5 linked regions of the Coturnix japonica genome follow. The protein of the gene in region 1 purifies or fractionates together with the protein of each later gene. This does not show direct contact. Links are inferred from orthologs where the notes say so. Each region holds a gene or a part of one and is shown in the gene's direction. Other genes may lie near its edges. The genes, in order: NEDD1, TUBGCP6, C6H10orf88, CCT7 and TUBGCP4.

Evidence for each region.
Region 2: the proteins of NEDD1 (region 1) and TUBGCP6 purify together in Homo sapiens (affinity purification with mass spectrometry; 3 studies listed by BioGRID and IntAct, with this or other methods). This does not show direct contact. The link is inferred for Coturnix japonica from reciprocal best matches to the Homo sapiens genes NEDD1 and TUBGCP6.
Region 3: the proteins of NEDD1 (region 1) and C6H10orf88 purify together in Homo sapiens (co-immunoprecipitation; 3 studies listed by BioGRID and IntAct, counting the BioPlex papers as one, with this or other methods). This does not show direct contact. The link is inferred for Coturnix japonica from reciprocal best matches to the Homo sapiens genes NEDD1 and C10orf88.
Region 4: the proteins of NEDD1 (region 1) and CCT7 purify together in Homo sapiens (affinity purification with mass spectrometry; 3 studies listed by BioGRID and IntAct, counting the BioPlex papers as one, with this or other methods). This does not show direct contact. The link is inferred for Coturnix japonica from reciprocal best matches to the Homo sapiens genes NEDD1 and CCT7.
Region 5: the proteins of NEDD1 (region 1) and TUBGCP4 purify together in Homo sapiens (affinity purification with mass spectrometry; 3 studies listed by BioGRID and IntAct, with this or other methods). This does not show direct contact. The link is inferred for Coturnix japonica from reciprocal best matches to the Homo sapiens genes NEDD1 and TUBGCP4.

The regions. Positions count from the first base shown.
Region 1 is NC_029516.1:41,887,398-41,891,541, forward strand, and holds the start of NEDD1 (protein NEDD1), read left to right. Parts: upstream 1-1,341; 5' UTR 1,342-1,447; intron 1,448-1,462; exon of another isoform or gene 1,463-1,562; intron 1,563-2,510; 5' UTR 2,511-2,518; coding exon 2,519-2,654; intron 2,655-3,765; coding exon 3,766-3,860; intron 3,861-4,144. UniProt on the Homo sapiens protein: Required for mitosis progression. Promotes the nucleation of microtubules from the spindle.
Region 2 is NC_029516.1:18,133,477-18,136,989, reverse strand, and holds part of TUBGCP6 (gamma-tubulin complex component 6), read left to right. Parts: intron 1-549; coding exon 550-713; intron 714-1,278; coding exon 1,279-1,489; intron 1,490-1,970; coding exon 1,971-2,144; intron 2,145-3,214; coding exon 3,215-3,336; intron 3,337-3,513. UniProt on the Homo sapiens protein: Component of the gamma-tubulin ring complex (gTuRC) which mediates microtubule nucleation.
Region 3 is NC_029521.1:27,968,778-27,972,751, reverse strand, and holds the start of C6H10orf88 (ATPase PAAT), read left to right. Parts: upstream 1-1,172; coding exon 1,173-1,309; intron 1,310-1,423; coding exon 1,424-1,624; intron 1,625-1,835; coding exon 1,836-1,908; intron 1,909-2,623; coding exon 2,624-2,830; intron 2,831-3,429; coding exon 3,430-3,893; intron 3,894-3,974. Other genes in the region: disintegrin and metalloproteinase domain-containing protein 9-like, read right to left, coding at 1-179. UniProt on the Homo sapiens protein: ATPase that regulates mitochondrial ABC transporters ABCB7, ABCB8/MITOSUR and ABCB10. Regulates mitochondrial ferric concentration and heme biosynthesis and plays a role in the maintenance of mitochondrial homeostasis and cell survival.
Region 4 is NC_029519.1:81,269,556-81,273,548, reverse strand, and holds the start of CCT7 (T-complex protein 1 subunit eta), read left to right. Parts: upstream 1-1,183; 5' UTR 1,184-1,310; coding exon 1,311-1,316; intron 1,317-2,508; coding exon 2,509-2,889; intron 2,890-3,260; coding exon 3,261-3,386; intron 3,387-3,993. Other genes in the region: PRADC1 (protease-associated domain-containing protein 1), read right to left, coding at 185-294, 483-583, 942-1,032. UniProt on the Homo sapiens protein: Component of the chaperonin-containing T-complex (TRiC), a molecular chaperone complex that assists the folding of actin, tubulin and other proteins upon ATP hydrolysis.
Region 5 is NC_029525.1:18,420,362-18,423,874, reverse strand, and holds part of TUBGCP4 (gamma-tubulin complex component 4), read left to right. Parts: intron 1-342; coding exon 343-448; intron 449-782; coding exon 783-890; intron 891-1,129; coding exon 1,130-1,268; intron 1,269-1,712; coding exon 1,713-1,890; intron 1,891-2,791; coding exon 2,792-2,926; intron 2,927-3,124; coding exon 3,125-3,241; intron 3,242-3,490; coding exon 3,491-3,513. UniProt on the Homo sapiens protein: Component of the gamma-tubulin ring complex (gTuRC) which mediates microtubule nucleation.

The DNA.
Region 1 (4,144 bases):
TCTTTTCATTGTAGCTGAAAGTTTGTCTCCATTCCACATCTGGAAAAGGAATTGGTAGTATTTCCAGATCTGATAAGCTGTGGGATAGTGTAAGGGAAGAGAGAGTACCGTGGGGACAAGTTGAAAGGACTGCAGAATGCACAGCGTTTATCTGCAGTGCATCTCCTGGATGATGCACAGGATGGCTCCTACTGGGAACCAAAGAAAAGTAAAAGCAGCATTTCCTTTACATTCCTTTGGTGTTCTCTGTTCTGTGAGCTGAATGTAGTAAGAAACCAGCAAGCAAAAATAAAGCTTCTGGTCCTGTAACGAATAACTGCATGTCCCAGGCTGTGGTGGGCCTCAGATTGAAACTGAATGGAACTGAATGCACTGACAACTCTGGAGGTGCTTATTTATTTATTTTTTTATGTTTATTTCATTCTTTCAAATTCTGCTTTGATATATTCTTAACTAATATTCCCTCCCCCCCCAATTGTGGCACTCGGAGGATCTGTCTCGCACCAACAGATATCCAGCAACTTGGAATTATTTCTGCTTAAATTAATTTGACGATGTGGAAATCGGTAATTTCACACACAGATTTATTCAATTGTATGTGAGTGGTTTTTAATTCCCACTACAGCTCCAGCTCACGTTCACGTTTTGTTTGGCATCAGGATTTCCCCAGTATTTGGAAGCCAGCAATCTAACAGAATAATCCCGGTAATGAGCCGCTCTATGCCTCAGTTTCTTTATTGGATGATGACAGCGATCCCTTCATCGCTGTGTATTATGGAGCTTTTTGCATCGACATCTGGAAAATGTTTTCAGATCCTTGAATTAAAGAGGCGGAGGATTGAAGTTATTAAGAAATTGATTCGCAGTGTAAAAGGAGCAGCCAGTTGTTTCCAAAACCGCTTTCAGTCAAATCCAAGAATAAAGATTTTAAACACTGAATAATGAGGGAACTCGAATTAATTGTTGGAATTACAGGCTAATATGCTGAACTAATTAAGCTAGCAGAGAGTTCCATTAATGTTTGCCAAAGATCCTCTTTGTGTTACAGATACCGAGTATATCATCAAATGGGAGAAATGAAAACACGAAGCATAGGTTTATGAGGGTGGAAGGGTCCAGGGGCAAGCGCAGAAGTGAAATATTAACCAGTGCAATTTAATTTTCCACTTTGAAACAAGAGATAATGAGAATGAATCATTGAGGATTCTACTCAACTAAGTAGTAACTCTCACTCTCACTTTGCCACCCCTCAGTGCTAACCCACAAGCACAGCGATGCTCTATGGTTGAACACCGGCTATATCCCATCCAGCACCCGCACCCCTCCAGCCCCGCCCCGCCCGGCTTCTCTCGTCCCCTCCGGGCCACCGTAGCGGCGTTGGGAGGCGGGTACGCGCGGGGGCTGTTGGGACGGGTTGTGAAGTTGGACGAGGCGCGGAAAGTCGGCGGTGAGTAGCGGAACCGGACAGAACCGCGAGCGGCGGCTGCTGAGCGCATCGGAGCGGCCCGCTCCTGCTGCCGGGCACGGGCACTGAGGAGCCGCCGCCGGGCGGGGAGGGGAAGGTGGGCGGCGGGGCCCAGAGATGCTGAGGGAACCTGTGGAGCGGCAGGGATGGGGGTCGGGGGGATCACCGTCAGCTTCTGCTTCTGAGTGAGGGGGAGCGGAGAGCGAAGCCGTGTGGGAGCGTCCCGTCAGAGCTCCCGGCTGGAGGCCTCTCAGCGTGTGTTGGTGCTGCTGGTGCTTCAGGTTACCCGGGTGTAAGCTCCACAGGGATGGGCCTCGGCTCCCAGCCGCAGCACAGTGCTGCAACACGGCGGGTTTTCCTGCTTCTGGAATATTGTATCCAGTTCTGGACTCCCCGGTACATAAAAGACAGGGATCTCTTGGAAAGAGTCCAGCGGAGGGCCACTAAGATGGTGAAGGGCCTGGAGCATCTCCCCTATGAGGAGAAACTACGTGAACTGGGTCTGTTCAGCCTTGAGAAAAGAAGGCTGAGAGGGGACTTGATCCAGGTTTATAAATACCTGAGGTGTGGGGGCCATGGTGGTGAGGCTGGTCTCTTTTCAGTAGTGCGTGGGGATAGGACTAGGGGTAATGGGATGAAACTACGGCATAGGAAGTTCTGCACCGATGTGCACAAGAACTTCTTTACAGTGAGGGTGACGGAGCACTGGAACAGGCTGCCCAGGGAGGTGGTGGAGTCTCCTTCTCTGGAGATATTCAAGACCCGCCTGGACGCCTACCTGTGTGACATGGTGTAGGGAGCCTGCTTTGGCAGGGGGGTTGGACTCGATGATCTCTAGAGGTCCCTTCCAACCCCTACAATTCTGTGATTCTATGATTCTTCATTTGTGAGCTGCCTTAAAAAAGACCTTGTAGTGTCACGTTTCAAGTAAATCACCTTGTTCTCGAGGGAACGGTGTTGAATGGGGCTGTTCTCGACTTGTAAAGTGACCTGTTGTGTGTTCTTCATTAATTTTATTATTATTATTATTTTCTTTGCAAATTAGGTGCAGCCATGCAAGAGAGCATTCGTTTTGCTTCATCAGGAGATGACATTAAGATATGGGATTCCTCATCTCTGACTGTGGTGGAGCAGTTCAACCCACATACATCTCCGCATCCCATCAGCTCTCTGTGCTGGGCCGCCAATAGTATCCTTTACAGCTTCAGTTCTGTGGGTGCTCTGCGGTGATTAAGTGTAGCAGGAAGGGGAGAGAAACAAGATCTGTGTATTTTTGTGCATACAAATGTGCGTGTGTATGTATATTTACTATGTCTATATACACACACATCTATATATGTCTGTGTCGATAAGTAAACTTGAGCATAGACACTTTTGTCCTACTTGCTTTATCTCTTTATCCCTGTCTCCAGAGCTGAACAGCATCCCGCTCCATATGCTTGTTAGGTTAAACAGTTGGGTTTCATTCTGCATAGTTCTTTAAGCTAAAATGTCTCAAAATAAAGTCACCACTCTGCATATCACCTTATAGTTGGACTAGATGATCTTAGTGGTCTTTTCCAACTTAATGATTCTGTGGTGTCAAATGCAGTCCTATAAGTTCTTAGTAAGTCTCCTTAGTAAGCAAATATAGAATCACAATGGGTATCAGCCTGAAGACGTAGGGGATGCAGATCTGAGTGATTACCCAAATAGTTTGGGGTTGGGTGCAGGGCCAGTTTCCTTACTCTGCTCCTATACTGGAGGCTTTTCTTAGCGCTTTGACCTACTTGGTGCAATAAAAGGTATTTTCTTCCTTTCCCCCTCCCCCATACAGACAGAGACAAGCTAGCAAACGTATTTATTGTATTCCAGGGACAATTAGACAAACTGCTTTAATTAACATTTATCACGTGCAGGACTTCTCAGTCAAATTCTTTTGCTCTTTCAATTTGTTCTGGTAGCAGCAGCAGGTGTCACTCTGAACTCCAGTGATAAAGGAGCTTGTACTTGGGCTGGTGGGGTTAAAAAGGAACTGGGTGAGCTGCCACAGGGAAGAGCTCTTAAACAATATCTGCCCGATATTTCTCCTCTGAAAGAAATGGCACTGCTTTGTATTGGGAAGCAAGAGCTGCAAACGCTACGAGAGCTTCTTAGGGGAAGCTCATTAAGTAGCCTTATGTTTCTATTTCTAGGGCCCTTCAAGGTGAAGTACTGCAGATAGTTTGGTTTCCTGTTAGCTTTCCAGTACGGGAGACTCACGGTTGCTATTAATGCAATTGAAAGTTTGATATGGTTATCATCCATAACTTGTCCCTAAGATAGCTTCCTGGTCAGTGCTTCAGCTGCTGGGGATAAAATCGTTGTGTCAAGCTGCAAAAGTAAACCTGTTCCACTCTTTGAAGTAGCTGAAGGAGTAAGTATGGGGTTGTGTGTGTGTGTGTGTGTGTGTGTGTATGTATGTATGTGTCCCCAAACCATCTTGTGTGCTGTTTGCATCTCATCTCTCCTGCACATTGATTGTCAGTTGGATTTTAGAGGGGTGAAAAGTGAATGTGAAGGGGACAGGTGGCACTATAAACTCTTCAGAAAGCCAGACTTGGTTTTGACAGGGTTACTCCAGTGACTCCTTGTAATCTAAGCCATTCTTGTTGTTCTCCTTAAGTAGCTACTGTAATGTTCATTTAATTGGGAGTCCTG
Region 2 (3,513 bases), about 24 Mb from region 1:
ACTCTCCATCAGACTGGGATTTGAGATTTGTTGAAGAACATGCTGTGTTTTTTGTGTGGATATCATAATCTTATTAAGCCTGGGTGCCGTTCTTCATGTACAACTCCTGAGATCAGAGTGTGGCACACGCAGTGCCTGGACACTTACGGGTTTTCTGCATCTGAATAAGCATCAGAGAACAAAGTGTTAACAACATTTGTACAAATTGTAAGAGTTATCATTAATAATCTGCTTAAAAGACTTTCTGAGCAGTGCCATTTTATTCTTCTTAGAACTGCATGCATACAGAGGAGTAAGTTTCAGTTTTAACATTAAGAAACTTAGTGTTATTATTTCAGCGGTGATTGATTGTTGTTTTATATTTAGGCATTGGTGCCTTTGAAAATGGAACAAGTGAAGGAACATTTAAAGGAGAAACTTAGAGATGAAAGGAGTGGGCACTGGCTGAGTCGTATTGAGTCACTTGATCACAAATAATAGCAAAATCTTTATCAGCATATGTTTCTCTAGTAATGTTTTCATACGTAAAGCTTGAACTCTCTCTGACAGGTTCCTCAAAGCATAGACCAGTCAGAAGATGAAGGATTCCAGTCGGCATCCAATCTGACTCCTGATTCTCAGTCAGAGCCAAGCATGACTCCAGACATAGATCTGTGGGATGCAGTGCTTACATATGGGCCAAGCAAAAGAAGATGCTGGGAAAGAATTGGATAGTATGTATCTGATGTTATTGGCAAACTTCCTGTGCTTCACATGTGAATGTATGAAGGTGCAATTCATCTTAGTTCTGAATGACCTCAGTATAGGAGTTAAATATGCAATAGGAATATGCAGTATTCCTATTTAATGCATATTTAATATGTAGAATTCAATATATGTATTAATGATTGAGATCATGCCATTTCAGCGAACCAGCCTTTAGATTGCATCTGTTTCATGGGAAGAAAAAATTATCTTAGACCTAAAAACTGAAGGAGTTATGGCAACACTTTCTGATCATGTGAAATGCAACATTGCATACACAATGCAATTTATTTCAACCTAACATGATTTCATCTTTTCAGATTCAGAAGAGAAATTGCTAGAAGAATTAAACCCTTAAAAGTCAAATGCAGACCATATACCTGAAGCTTTCCTGTAAGAAATACTGCTAGAACTGTGAAGAGTTTGGAAGAGTTGGATGGGAAATTTGTTTTGGAGGGGATGGTAATCCCTGCTAGGAAGCGGTAGATCTATTTCTCACATAATCACCTTCCAATATTTTGTTTACTCTGGCAGCCCACCTGGTAAGAAGGAGGAGCCGTACCTTACTGAGGCTGGGAGAGAAGCTTTTGACAAGTTCTACAAGCTCCGAGAGGGGGAAATGCAGCTTTTCAGTAGTACCGTACTTCAGCTTCCACAGCTTGTGCTGATGAGGGAACCTGAACTGGTGAAGGATGTCTTGAATGTCCTCATTGGTGTGGTATCCACTACATTTTCACTCAACCAGGTATGAAATGTATTTAACTGCAATTCTCAGTTGCATTTGCTTTTTCTTTTTTTTCTTAGATACCTCCTTTTCAATACATGATTTATTTTGAGATCTCACAGTTGTGTTAAGAGGATAAGTGTGACTTAATTGCGATAACGTCACATCTGTACATTGTAATAACGACTTATAGGCAGGGAACAAGTATTTGTCAAAATAATTAGCAAAAATGAGCTAATTACAGAAAACAGAAGTTTGAATAATGTTGTAGGCTGGGTTTTCATGAAAAATTGTTATAATTAATCTTTTTTGACATACTTGAAAATGCACTTTTGAAGTTTTGCTACAATTTAATACTCTTATTATATTTTCCTACATATATAGTATGATTTACCAGAGTACCTATGCTGAAGATTTGTCTCTAAACGTTTGCTGTTTTAAATCAGAATGCAGCTGGGTAATATTTGAAGCCTATTTGCTTTCCTCTCCTGTTTCATTTTAGGCTGCTCAAACATTTATAATAAAGGAGGGGGTTTATGTGTCTGGAACTTCGCCGGAGACGATGCACAACCTGCTCTCAGAAGTTGCGGAATATGGAACCTACTACACACGGCTGAGTCGCTTCTCCCTTCAGCCAGTCTTAGATTCTTCGTACAGCAAAGGGCTTGTGTTTCAGGTAGCACCATTGTGTCAAATCACTTACGTTTGATGGGCCAGTTATTTTAGGCAGAGAACACAACTTTGATTTCATATAAGGCTGGAATTTCTTCCTTCTGCAGAACTGCGAAGTATTTTCAATACAAATATGTGTATTTATGTATCCTGGGTCAGCAAGGGACAGTGACACCGTGGAGCCCTGTTTAAATTGGAGCTGTGGTTGCTTAGGGTTTGTCTGCCCCAAAGCAACAAATGAAAGCTCTTCATTACTTGAACTGTGATTTGTTGTGTGGTTTTGTTGAGATCTAAAGGGGCAGAATTTAGAAGCATTTATATGTTAAAATGTATAACATTTATATATATATAACATGTATATATAAAATATAATACCTTTCTTAATACGGTATGCATATAAATAACATTGCATACATTACATTGATACTAAAATAGAGAAACATGCTATTTAATAGCTTTAATAACTTTTCTTAGATCAGAATTAAGCGCACATTTTACTTGTCAACCCTCTTTATATTTTTCTGAACTGTGTGTAGCTGCATGATACCAGGTACATTTCTCTTTCTAATGCATATAGTTCTTTTAGGATTAGTTATGAAAATATATGCCTCCTGAATATTTCATTTACAGTTACGTCAATAGAAATTGAACAGAAAAGTCTTATTTAATTCTAAGTCATGCTGGAAAAAGTAGATGTTTTTATAGGAGCTTTTTCCACTGCATAATTTAGGAATGGAAGTAAGGAAACAGGTTTCCCTGGGTTCATAATGAAGCTGCTAGAAAATCAGAATGCCTTCAAAAGGGCAGTTCAAGGAAGGTGAACCAAAATGCTCATTGTGTGCCTGGGTGCAGGCTTTGTGCATAGCATGTAGGAAGAGTATAAAGGAGTCATTTGGTTAATTGTATGCCTGAAGTTATGTGGACTCTTACTTTCCTACACGAGCCCCTCTTACTTTTACATGCAGATTATTTTATTAAAGGCTCATTTTCATGCCGGTTCAACTGATGTGAGATATAAGTAACTATTAACAGCTTTACCAGTAAGGCTTTGTAAATATTTTCTGTTGACAATAGGCTTTCACAAGTGGTCTGAGGAAGTATCTTCAGTATTACCGAGCCTGTGTTTTGTCTACTCCTCCTACTTTAAGTCTTCTGACCATCAGCTTTCTCTTCAGGAAACTGGGCCGTCAGTTGAGGTAAGAGAATAACATTAAATATTTAAGCTTTCCATAAAACACAAACTACAGTCTGTTTTTTTCCTTTACAAAACAGGAGAGTATTAGGCAGCCATTCTTACATAATTTTTCGGTATTCTTCCAGCAATTTCACATCAAGATTTCTTTATGTTCCCTTGGAAAAACATGTAAAGTCTT
Region 3 (3,974 bases), on another chromosome or scaffold:
CCCAAAGCAAAGAAAAGCAGGCCGTGCTTTAGCATGACTAGATTCCCTGCAGACACCTGGCTCTCAGCTGCTCCACACGGAACTAGAAGAATGAGGAACAGTCTGCTCTGAAGGTAAACAACAGAAAAGGCTCTCGGATACTTCATCTCTGCTAAGGAAACCGGGAAGTAAAAGTTCATCCATTAGGCTTGCAAGAAAACTGGTTAAGCAGCTTAAGGCAAACAAAAAGCAGCGCTCTGAAATGCTGATTGGAGGCAGACAGCCACATCATGCCAGAACCGAGCTGGTTCCTTCTGAAGGACTTTGACTGTAACCACATAACAGAGGTTATGTGAGACTCAAAGTGTCAGGTCTTGCTAGCTGTGATATTTGAGACATTTATGTGCTCTCTGGAATTCCAGCTACTTGTTTTCTATTAGTTTATCTTAGAAATACTTAAATTGCAGTGCGTACCAACACAGCTACATCTAACACAGGGATTTCAGCCACACCCCCCCTGCATTAAGGATAATTCTCCTCACCAAAAGCCTGTGATTTTGAAGGCTTCATCGCTCTTCCAGGATCAGAATAACCTTCCAAAGCACCAAGCAACAACATCAGCATCAAGATTAGGAAGGAAATGAATGCTCCTAAAGCTGAGTGAACACACAACGCATTTCAGAAGCACTGAGCAGCCTTAGAAACCCAAACAGGAGACCCAGGCAACACAGCATTCACACTTAAGACATTTACATGAAGTAATTAATTTTAATGAATTGTAAATTAAAGCAGAGCGAAGCCGTTTCTCCTAGTGCTGGTCAGTAGCATGAAATAACGGCTCAAGTGCAAAAATAAAACAAAAGTCAGAGATATTAGCAGTCGTGTTGTACTGAATAAGGACAATGCAAATCCATCTTCCTATTCCACAGCCCTAATTCACCTCCCTCAGCCCACAAGAACTCGATATCCGAGCTCCCTAGACTCGTATCCACACCAAAACGTAAAGAGACTCCATAAGCCTGGATCCTACTGCAAATTAAACGAGCTCAATCTTTAATTCATGCTCTGCTCTCTACGTGTCACACTATTAACATGCCATAAGCACAACAAGGCGATACAAAACTCCATCAACTCCTGAAGCACTGAGGAGAGCTCAAGCCCGCCCCGCGCATGCGCATTGCCCCGGCCTGGTGATGGCGAGCGGCGGCGCTCTGGGCCTTGCGCCTGCCCTGCATGGCGTGACCGTGGGCTGCTCGTGGCCCTGCGAGCCGCCCGACGGCCTGACCCGGGCTCTATGTGTGCGGAGCGGGGCGGGCTGCGATGAAACGAGGTGAGGGAGGACGAGGAGGAGGTAGCAGAAGCCCTGCGGCCGAGGGGCGGCGGAGGGCCGGGGTGGGGAGGCGGCCTGGAGAGGCAACGCGGCTCTCCCCGCTTCCCTCCTCAGCTGTGAGGCCGTGGTGGTGGTGGAGCGGCGGGATGGCGGCGGGGGTACGCCGTGTGTGCTGCAGCTGGAGTGCCGGAACGGAGCACAGCGGGTGGAGAAGGTCGGTGTGGTGAGCGAGGCCCGGCACATGGAGGTGTACGTGGGAGAGGAGTACTGCGGGACCGGCCGTGGGATGAGCGCTGGAGGCATGCAGCCCCCGGGGTGAGTGAGGAAACACAGCTGGGAGCTGATGGATTTTATTTGTTTTTAATTGGTTGTGAGGCACGTCTGCTTAATGAGTTAAATGAAAACTGTCATTTGCAGCTGTGCTGACCCGTGCTGTGCACACACACAAGGAATCACAACATTAAAACTGCCGCACTGCCCTAAGAAATACGTGTGGTGTCACAGATTGCTCCTTTTGTTTTTGCAGTGAAACTGAAAGTGTGAGTTTATACGAAAAGTATCTGAAATTGGAATGCCCGGCGACCTCTTGTAGGATTAAGGTAGGGAGTTTGGTGGAAATCTATCACTTCTCGTTGTCTTTTCCCGTCCTTGGAGGTGTTCAAGACCAGGTTGGATGGGGCCCTGGGCAACCTGATCTATGGGGTCTCTATGGGGATCTATGGGGTCTCCTGGGCAACCTGATGTAGTAAAGGTGTATGTTCGGTGGCCCTGCCAGGCAGGGGGGTTGGAACTACATGATCCTTGAGGTCCCTTCCAACCCAGGTCATTCTGTGTGATATTCAATCATTTGATTGGCTAAATTGCATTACCCTTCCCCCAATTACTGTTATTTCTATACCATAATCACATTACCACTTAAGACTGTTGTATGGCCTTTATAGCTCTCTTAATTTTCTATCTATGAAGTCACATATGAGAAAGTTGTTACCTCATACAGAAATGCCTTCATAAACCAAATACATTATAGGCAATCTGCAGTTGTAATATAATCAGAACTACTAACTACACTGTGAATGTGTACACTGGTAATGGGAACCCCGTGATGCAGATAAATAAGCTTAGGAAAACCTATACAGCTATTGCTGTATTTAAGTACTAATTGATGCTTTGATCATGCAAGTAACTTCTGTTGAGTCAGAATTCTGACCAAGAGAAAGAAATCAACTTGAATTCCTAACGTATTCATGCAAAGAAACCATTGAATTGTGTTTTTTTCCTTCCTAACCAAGATACCTTTTTTCCTTCTTGCAATAGCTGCTCTCCATTGGTGAGAAACAAAGGGTACTCATCAGTAAGATAATTGTACAAGTGAATACAGTTTCAGCAAAACTAGCAACTGATTTTCCTTCACTAGGATCAAGCATAGATCTAGACAGAGTGCAAACTATAATGGACTCTATGGGATCCAAGTTGTCTCCAGGTGCTCAGCAACTCATGGACATGGTTCGATATCAGCAGAAAGTAAGTTACTGTGCTGCTCCATAGACATCAATAGCGCTGTTCTGTGACTTTGCCTCCTGTGACAGTTAAGCACCTTCTAAGCTGATTCAGTGGAAAAAGTTCTGGTTGTTTTTGGCTTTCCTGTTGCTGCTCTTAAATGCTGCAGTGAATTAAGAACTCAAGGAGTCACATAAAGATCAGAGTTAAGAGCGTTGCATCATTGTCATCATTTTCATCTCCACTGTCGCCCTGTTGTCCGCTTGTCCATTTCACTTGTCACTTCTTGTGATTTCTTCATTGGTGGACATGTTTCTTGTTGCGCTTGGGGTGTAAGTAGATGGATGAGTTTGACTTTGTTGTTATTAAATGCATGACATGAAGTAAGTGAAGTTGTTTTGTTACTCAGAGCAACAAGGTAACAAGCACAGCACATGCAAGGAAAGTTTTTCTATGCTTTGCCCTATGAATATAATTCACAGCTACTTTTTAAGTCATTATATCATGCTAGTAGAATGCTCTAATCACTTGGAGTTAAACTTGTAGCCTGGGTGCTGTTACAGCACAACCTTCAGTATATTTTAGCACTTAATGTTTAAATGTACCTTTCTTCTTCCCATCAGAACAGTTTACCTCTTGGAGACAAACTTAGTTGGATGTTTGGGAAGAACTCAGACTTTGGAAACAAGCATCCGGTAGATGGATTACATGGTGCAGCCATTCAGACATCACTACATCAATCAGTCACTGAATCTTCATCAGTCAGAAGTCCTTTAACAAGTGAAACAGGATGTGAAAACTTAAATCTTGATCTGAAAGCACAGGTTCCTGAAGGAGAGGATGTTTCTAACTCTAAAGAACTTAATACACAGCAGAATACAGCTGACCTCAGAAATTATTTCAAAGCTATGGGGTCTTTGCTTATGCAGGAGCAAACAGATGGAATGCGGAACGTAGCTGCCCCACAGATGCTCCTTCCTTTTCTTCAGAACTTATGCAGTCAAGTTAATCATCTTCGGCTAAAAGACAGTGAAAGGCATCTCGATAAAAGCGTGGTGACTAAAGAAGAGGGCATTCAAACTGTTGGGTAAGTTAACTTAACTAGCAGCTTGTGCGTATTAGCAAGTCTAAATGAGTACACAAGCATTTTATTCTCACTGTTTGTACC
Region 4 (3,993 bases), on another chromosome or scaffold:
AGTGGGGATGGTTGGGTGGGTTGATGGTTGAACTCAATGTCTTGTCTTTACCAGCCTTAATACCAAAGCTTGCCCAGTAGATGATGCACAAGACAGGGACTATGGGGACTATAGGGATTGTTTGCCTGGCATCATCCCTCACTCAGAACCTCAGACTCTGGATAAATAGAAAACAGACACGTACCCCCTCTCCACCAAAGCAATCTGGTCCTGGATGAAGACCCCATTGTTCAGCTCTCCACAGGCCTCGGGGGGATCTGCTGGCACCAGGTGGATCTGGTCATACCTTGTGTTCTCCAAGCATGAAACAAGGAGGGAGTGAGTAGGATCAGGGTTGTTCCCAACCCCGCTCATCCCCTCCAGCACAAGCCAAAGGGAAAGCTTGTAGAAAAGCAATTGGATCTATTCTTATAGAAGGTTTTAAGGCCGTGCAGTGGAGGAACAGAAGGATGGGGAAGCTGAATTGAGTTCTTAATACTTACAAACACCCCACCGAAGTCTTTGGCTGGAGTGGCAGTGAAGATATAGCGGATGTCTCCAGGGCTCAGCACTTGGAAATAGAGATACTCATGGATACGTAAAGCTGTAGGGAGAAATAGAAGGGAGGAAATGGGAGGATTAGGAAAGTAAATGGGGAATAACTGAGCCTATATAGGGAGGGGAAATGCAGCCAGGTTTGTGTGTATAGGAGGAAAATGAACTCGGATTGTGATGTATGGAAGGGCCAGTGTGCTCCGAGGTAAAATACAACTAGATTGGGGTGAATTGAGGGGAAATTGGGTCAAGTCGGGGAAATACACCCAGATTGAGGGAGAAAGGGGCCCATTAGGCCACGGAGCACCGAGGGGAAGCGCTATAGGGCATAGCCGGGATATGGGGGGCTCAAAGCAGCCGGGTGGGGTCACAGGGGTCGGTGGGGGTCTATGGGGGGCGGCACTCACCGCGTCCCGGGCAGGAGCAGAGATAGAGCCAGAGCCATAGCGAGCGGCGGAGCATGGCTGCGCTCAGCGCCCCGCCCCACCCCGCGCTCATTGGAGGAGCTACTCCGAGCGAGCCTTCCTATTGGTTGGCGCTGCTGCCATTCACCGGGACCGCCGCTCCTGTCATCTCGCTCCGCCGCAGCGGTTGGCGCCCGTCGCTTCATCTCTATGGTCATTGGGGGAAAGAAGGGCGCCTCGCTGCGGCCGCTCTGTCCTCCCTCACCATAGAGCGCGGCCGGAAGCCGTGGCTCAGGGAAGCTTCTGGGCGGCGCGGTGCATTGTGGGTGCGGGCCTGGCTCGGTGCAGGGAGCGGCAGCGAGGAGCGCCGCCATGATGGTGAGCGCAATCCTCCGCCATCCGCGTGCTGTATCGCTCCGTGTCGGCTCGTTCGGCCTCCGTGAGGCTGTGGGAGCCGTTGTGGTGGAGCCGAGCGGCGTTTGGGGCGGCTGGGAGGGGGGGATGGCGGCCGGGAGGGGGGGATGGCGGCGGGGTTGGGCCTGGGGCCTACACGGGGCTGTGTGAGGGAGTAGGCCCCGGGGGTCCCAGCGGTGTGAGATGGGACCCATAGGCCGGGGATAGAGGGGTGGGTCGGTCATTGTGGATGCTCTGAGCCCACATAGCGATGCTGGGGAGCGGGCAGGGTGCGGGATACGGCGTGTTCCCATTCAAAGAGATCTCTATAGGGTGTAGGTGGCGGTGATGCTCATAACCCCCTTTCCTTTTTTCCCTTTTCTGCTCCCCCCCAGGCCCTTGGCAGCATTTTTCAGTGTAGACATCATACAGTGCAGCACTCATGGTGTAATATTCCCCTTTGCCTCCAAGCAGTTACTTCAATCAGGGTACCTAACAAAACTGGGTGGTGCTAGGGCATAAAGCTTTGCCTGCAGGGCATGTCTGGTCACTTTAAGGGCAGGCCATCTCCTGGAGCACAGGAGGTTTTGCCTTTGGTATTTTATAGCCCCTATCTGAATGCTTGAGCTGTAACCACTTTGATATTGTTCTCCATGTGCTAAATGTGAGCATGTTTTTCAGCATCCTTGGGGTCATGCAGACTGTTGTGGTTATTCTGCTGAGCAGGGCTGTCCTTAACAGTCTGGGCACTGAAATCGGGACTTCATAGGGCTGTGCTGTAGGGAAGGAAGCTGTAGTGATAGGTCAAGGGGGAATGGTTTGAAACTGAGACAGGGGAGGTTTAGGTTGGATCTTAGGAGGAAGTTTTTCACCCAGAGGGTGGTGATGCACTGGAACAGGTTGCCCAAGGAGGCTGTGGATGCCCCATCCCTGCAGGCATTCAAGGCCAGGCTGGATGTGGCTCTGGGCAGCCTGGTCTGCTGGTTGGTGACCCTGCCCATAGCAGGGGGTTGAAACCAGTTGATCACTGTGGTCCTTTTCAACTCAGACCATTCTATGATGCTGTGAGTTCTATGATTCTCAGCTCAGTTAGTTTGTGAACTTTGTTAATAGTGTGAACTTGCTGGGCTGCGTGTTGAGATTGGACTAACAGCTCTGTCCTGGTTTCTCTCCTCAGCCAACACCGGTTATCCTGCTGAAGGAGGGCACTGACACCTCGCAGGGGATTCCTCAGCTCGTCAGCAACATCAATGCCTGCCAGGTGATCGCCGAGGCTGTACGCACCACCCTGGGACCACGGGGCATGGACAAACTCATTGTGGATGACAGAGGTGAGCACTGCACAGCAGCCTCTCTACAGCAAGACTGGGAAAGCTCTGTTCGATGTGTGTTGTTTCAAGGCAGTAAGAGCTTTATTTGGGGCTTAGCTTCTTTTTCTGAATTTCTTGTAGGCAAAGCCACCATCTCTAACGACGGGGCCACCATCCTGAAGCTCCTTGATGTTGTCCATCCGGCTGCGAAGACGTTGGTGGACATTGCTAAATCTCAGGATGCAGAGGTAGGAGGGTAACCTGGACAGGATGCAGCAGCATGTTGGCTTTGCGTTAAGTGGTCAAACTCGGTTGTGGCGTGCTGCTGTTTATCCTGGTTTCTTCATTGCTTTCATCTTTTTTGTGATAACTTTAAAACGCTTGGCTGGGTTTTCTGCCAGATTTAGTAGAAGGGTTTGGAGGCTTTATGGATGCAAAATGTCATGAACAGAGGTGGCTGGGAGATGGGAAACTTCAAACAGAGTGCAGTCTGAACCCAGCTTGTGCTTAATCACTGAAGGAATCAGCCACAGTTCTGTGAGCAATGAGAGTTAGGAAGTCTGTTTTCCTCTGGAGGCCTCTGCTGTACATAGGTGACTAAAGTGTTCTGTCCATACAGGTTGGTGATGGCACCACGTCCGTAACTCTGCTTGCTGCTGAGTTCCTGAAACAAGTGAAGCCCTACGTGGAGGAAGGCCTTCATCCTCAGATCATCATCCGTGCCTTCCGCACAGCCACACAGTTGGTAAGGCAGCACTGTGCAGAATGGGGTGGCTCTGCTTGGTCTTTTTTTTCCTGTTTTATTCCATTTTTCCTTTTCACTGGGTTAGAAGGCTTTTAAACATATGAGGATCACAGTAAAATCCCACCAGAGTCTGTTAAAAGTTATTTTTTTATGGTGTAAGAAGGAGGAAATTACTCTGGAACACCTCTCCTATGAAGAAAAGTTGAGGGAACTGGGCTTGTTTAGCTTGGAAAATAGAAGGGAATATGTAAACAGGAGGGGGAACAGCTGTTAATGAGGGTGGATAGTGATAGGACAAGGGGGAATGGTTATAAACAGGAGGTTTAGGTTGGATCTTAGGAGGAAGTTTTTCACCCAGAGGGTGGTGACACACTGGAACAGGTTGCTCAAAGGAGGCTGTGGATGCCCCATCCTTGCAGGCATTCAAGGCCAGGCTGGATGTGGCTCTGGGCAGCCTGGTCTGCTGGTTGATGACCCTGCCCATAGCAGGGGGTTGAAACCAGATGATTATCGTGGGCCTTTTCAGCCCAGGCCATTCTGTGATTCTGTAATTCATTTAGCATGTAATCATTAAAGCGGGAAGTGTTACAGCAGTCGGAATCAGTGA
Region 5 (3,513 bases), on another chromosome or scaffold:
TTCCCAGCAAATGCTTTACTGTCTTATGTTTTATACTTTCTTCTTTTAGGTAACTCTCTTTTCATTTCCCAAGATCATGAGTACAGTGATAGAACTTAGTCAGAGACAGAGTTAAAGGAGAAAATGTATGTGGTTTTGTGCTTTGCATCTCAGAGATTCATTTTATTGCTTGCAGTGCATTGCACTGTAGACTTTCTGGCCACTGGATGAAGTTTACAGCTCTCCAGCTGTGTTTTGAAATGGCAGAAATTGTCCAAGTAATCAAAAAGCATTACCAGTTATAATGCTTACTCTTTCTGCTCAGTTTTTTATATGCTTACATATAAAAACTTTTCTAAACAGATTATAAAAGACTTTTACCTTTTGGGAAGAGGCGAGCTGTTTCAGGCCTTCATTGACACTGCACAGCACATGTTAAAAACACCACCTACGGCTGTAACAGAACATGGTGAGTGCTGATTACTCATCTACAAAATGTCCTCCCTGTGCTCTGGCAGGAAAATAGTAAAGTCCAGTGCAGATTTCCTTATCTTATCCTCTGAATGTTTTCATTAGTTTTGAAAGAGCAGTACTTCTGAATTACAGAATAATGCACATTGGGCAAAAATAACATCTTTCAGTAACTTTCAGATGATAGCTTTCTCTCCGTATTGAAGAGCGAAGTTAAAGTAGTGAAAGTAGTGTTGGTCTTTTATGGCCCAACGTAAATAATTAATAGGTGCAAAATAAGCACTGTCCCTATCTTGAGTTTTCTGTTAATATTTGTGTTTTCTCTCTATCAGACATCAATGTTGCATTTCAGCAGTCTGCTCATAAGGTACTGTTAGATGATGACAACCTTCTTCCTTTGCTTCACTTGACCATTGAGTATCATGGAAAGGAGCATAAAGGTATCTATTTGAATTTTTAGTAATGAGTTAAGAGGGATTATGACAATGACCTGGTTTTCAAAATCCTACTGCTCTCATGTGGATTTAAGAAATATTAAATTCTCTTCCTTAACAGCCCTGTGTGATACCCTAGTTTGCTTTTCCTCTTCTTGTTCTGTTCTTTCCCCTTTTCATTCTTCTCTGGAAGGCTTTGCCTTGACTGAGAGAAAGACGTAACTGAGCACCTTATCTGTTTTCAGATTCTTCTCAGACTCGTGAAGGGACTTCCCGAGAGTTATCTCCACGTGAAGCTCCTGCATCTGGCTGGGCAGCTCTGGGCCTTTCTTACAAAGTTCAGTGGCCACTGCATATTCTCTTTACTCCTGCTGTTTTGGAAAAGTAAGTACTAAGTATTGTCTTTGTGTCTGGAAGCTCCCTGATCTCAGGCTTTTTTCCCTTATAGAGAGCATATAAAAGGTATCTACCTATCTAAAGGTAGAGCTTTAGCACCTGAGCTTGCTCACTGAGCCTTACTCTTCCTACTTAGCAATGTTGAGGTTACTTGTTGCAGATGAGGCCATGGCTGAGCTGTCAGCAAAACAGATCTGTCAAAACTTCACCAGCTCTTTTCTGGTAATGTTAGAATTTGTTTTGTTTTTTTTTGTAATCAATAACCAATACAATCGAATCTGTTACTGAAATTGGCTGCTACTTCATCTACCCTGTCTGTTGGCAGGCAACTATCTGCCATTTCTCTTTCCAGTCTTACACTGTTGTGTTCTCCAGTACCTGTAATCAAGAAAGAGTTCTGTCCTAAACAGCTTTGTTCTTTTTTGACTGTAGGTACAATGTTGTGTTCAAATACCTGCTCAGCGTGCGACGGGTCCAGGCAGAGCTACAGCATTGCTGGGCTCTCCAGATGCAACGTAAACACCTGAAATCTAACAGAACTGATGCCATCAAGTGGCGTCTGAGGGACCACATGGCTTTTCTTGTGGACAATCTCCAGTATTATCTCCAAGTGAGTATTAAACAGAGTTGAACTTGTATCACTTAATTGGGAACTGACAGAAATCTAGGGTGGGAGCTCTGAAGTTTTAAACTACAACTTTCTCCAAGTTCCCGGATTCAGTGCTACAACTGTACAGTTAGTGGATATGTGAATCAATAGAGTTTTAAGTATTAATGGAAATGCAAATGTTTCTGGCTCTCTAGTGCTATTAAGGAGCTGTGAGAAGCCCCACTTACCCCTGAAGCTAAATCAATAAGCTGCATCCTGTCTTGGTCCTTTGCCCCTTGAAGTGAACTCTACTTTGTTGAGTAACAGTGAGTTCTTTTGGGTGGTTTTGTGTTTGTTTCTTTTAGTTAGGATTTTTTTTTTTTAATTGAAAGAAGCCATGTTCTCAGTTTCAAATCCCAACAGTAGTTAGTAGTAGCATAATTTTGCAAAAATCAATTTGTTAATAGCTACAACAGTGGAATCTAGGGGGTCTGATTTTCAGGCTTTCTGGAGTAATGGCTCAAGCCTTTGCCCTGATGAGCATATTATGCAGGCTTTGCCCATTGCTGGTGAAAGTGCATAGTTAGTGGTGGTGACTGTATTGAAAAACAGTGCTTTGTAGCCGTGAATGTGATTTATCGTACAGAAACAAATAGATTGCTCCAAAAGTCATGCTTCCTAAGTACTTTTTTCACTAGTTAGAAATTAACTGTTTTTCTGCATTTGGGATCAGTTCTTTCCTTATTACTGTACTACTGTTGTATATAGAACTCCATTAATGACGCAGATAGAAATCAATGCTCAGCCTCTAATATAAGGGTAGCGGTAGGGAAAGCAAATTTCTTATACAACTTCTAGCTGGTCTGAGGTATTCCTATTCTTCTAGGAAGCTGTTAATGTAAACTCTTTGCATATTCATCAGGTGGATGTACTGGAATCTCAGTTCTCACAGCTTCTCCAGCAAATAAATGCCACACGAGATTTTGAGAGTATACGACTGGCTCATGATCATTTCTTAAGTAATCTGTTGGCTCAGTCTTTCATCCTCCTAAAGCCTGTAAGTAGATCTTGTTTTCAACTCTTTTTCTATAAGTTGTTTTTTCCTCAAGAAAAAGGGCCTTGGTGACTACTGAAAAATATGGCATTAATATCATCTGGATTATGAATGCTTTAATTTTCAGGAACTAAAAACAAACTTCCTCTGAGGCTGAGCTCTGTATGTAATTGGTAACCTGTACTTTTTTTCCCTGTACAGGTTTTCCACTGTTTAAATGAAATTCTGGACCTTTGTCATAGTTTTTGTTCTCTGGTGAGTCAGAATCTGGGACCGTTAGATGAGCGTGGAGCTGCACAACTCAGTATTCTGGTGAAGGTGAATGTCTATTGATATGGTCTTGTTCATCTCCCTTGCAAACAGCTAAGCTTTAACTTTACTCTTGTTCTACGCTGAGATCAGACCTTCTGTGTGGACACTCAGAATTACTTGAATTAATCAATATCACCTTTTGGCTGCACCTAATTGTTTCGGCTCACAGGTTACCTTATAGTAGACCTCAAGCAAAAATCTTTTGCAGTGATACTTTTGAGAGGCTTTCCTGAACAGGTTTCCTGTAATTTGTAGGGGTTCAGTCGTCAGTCGTCGCT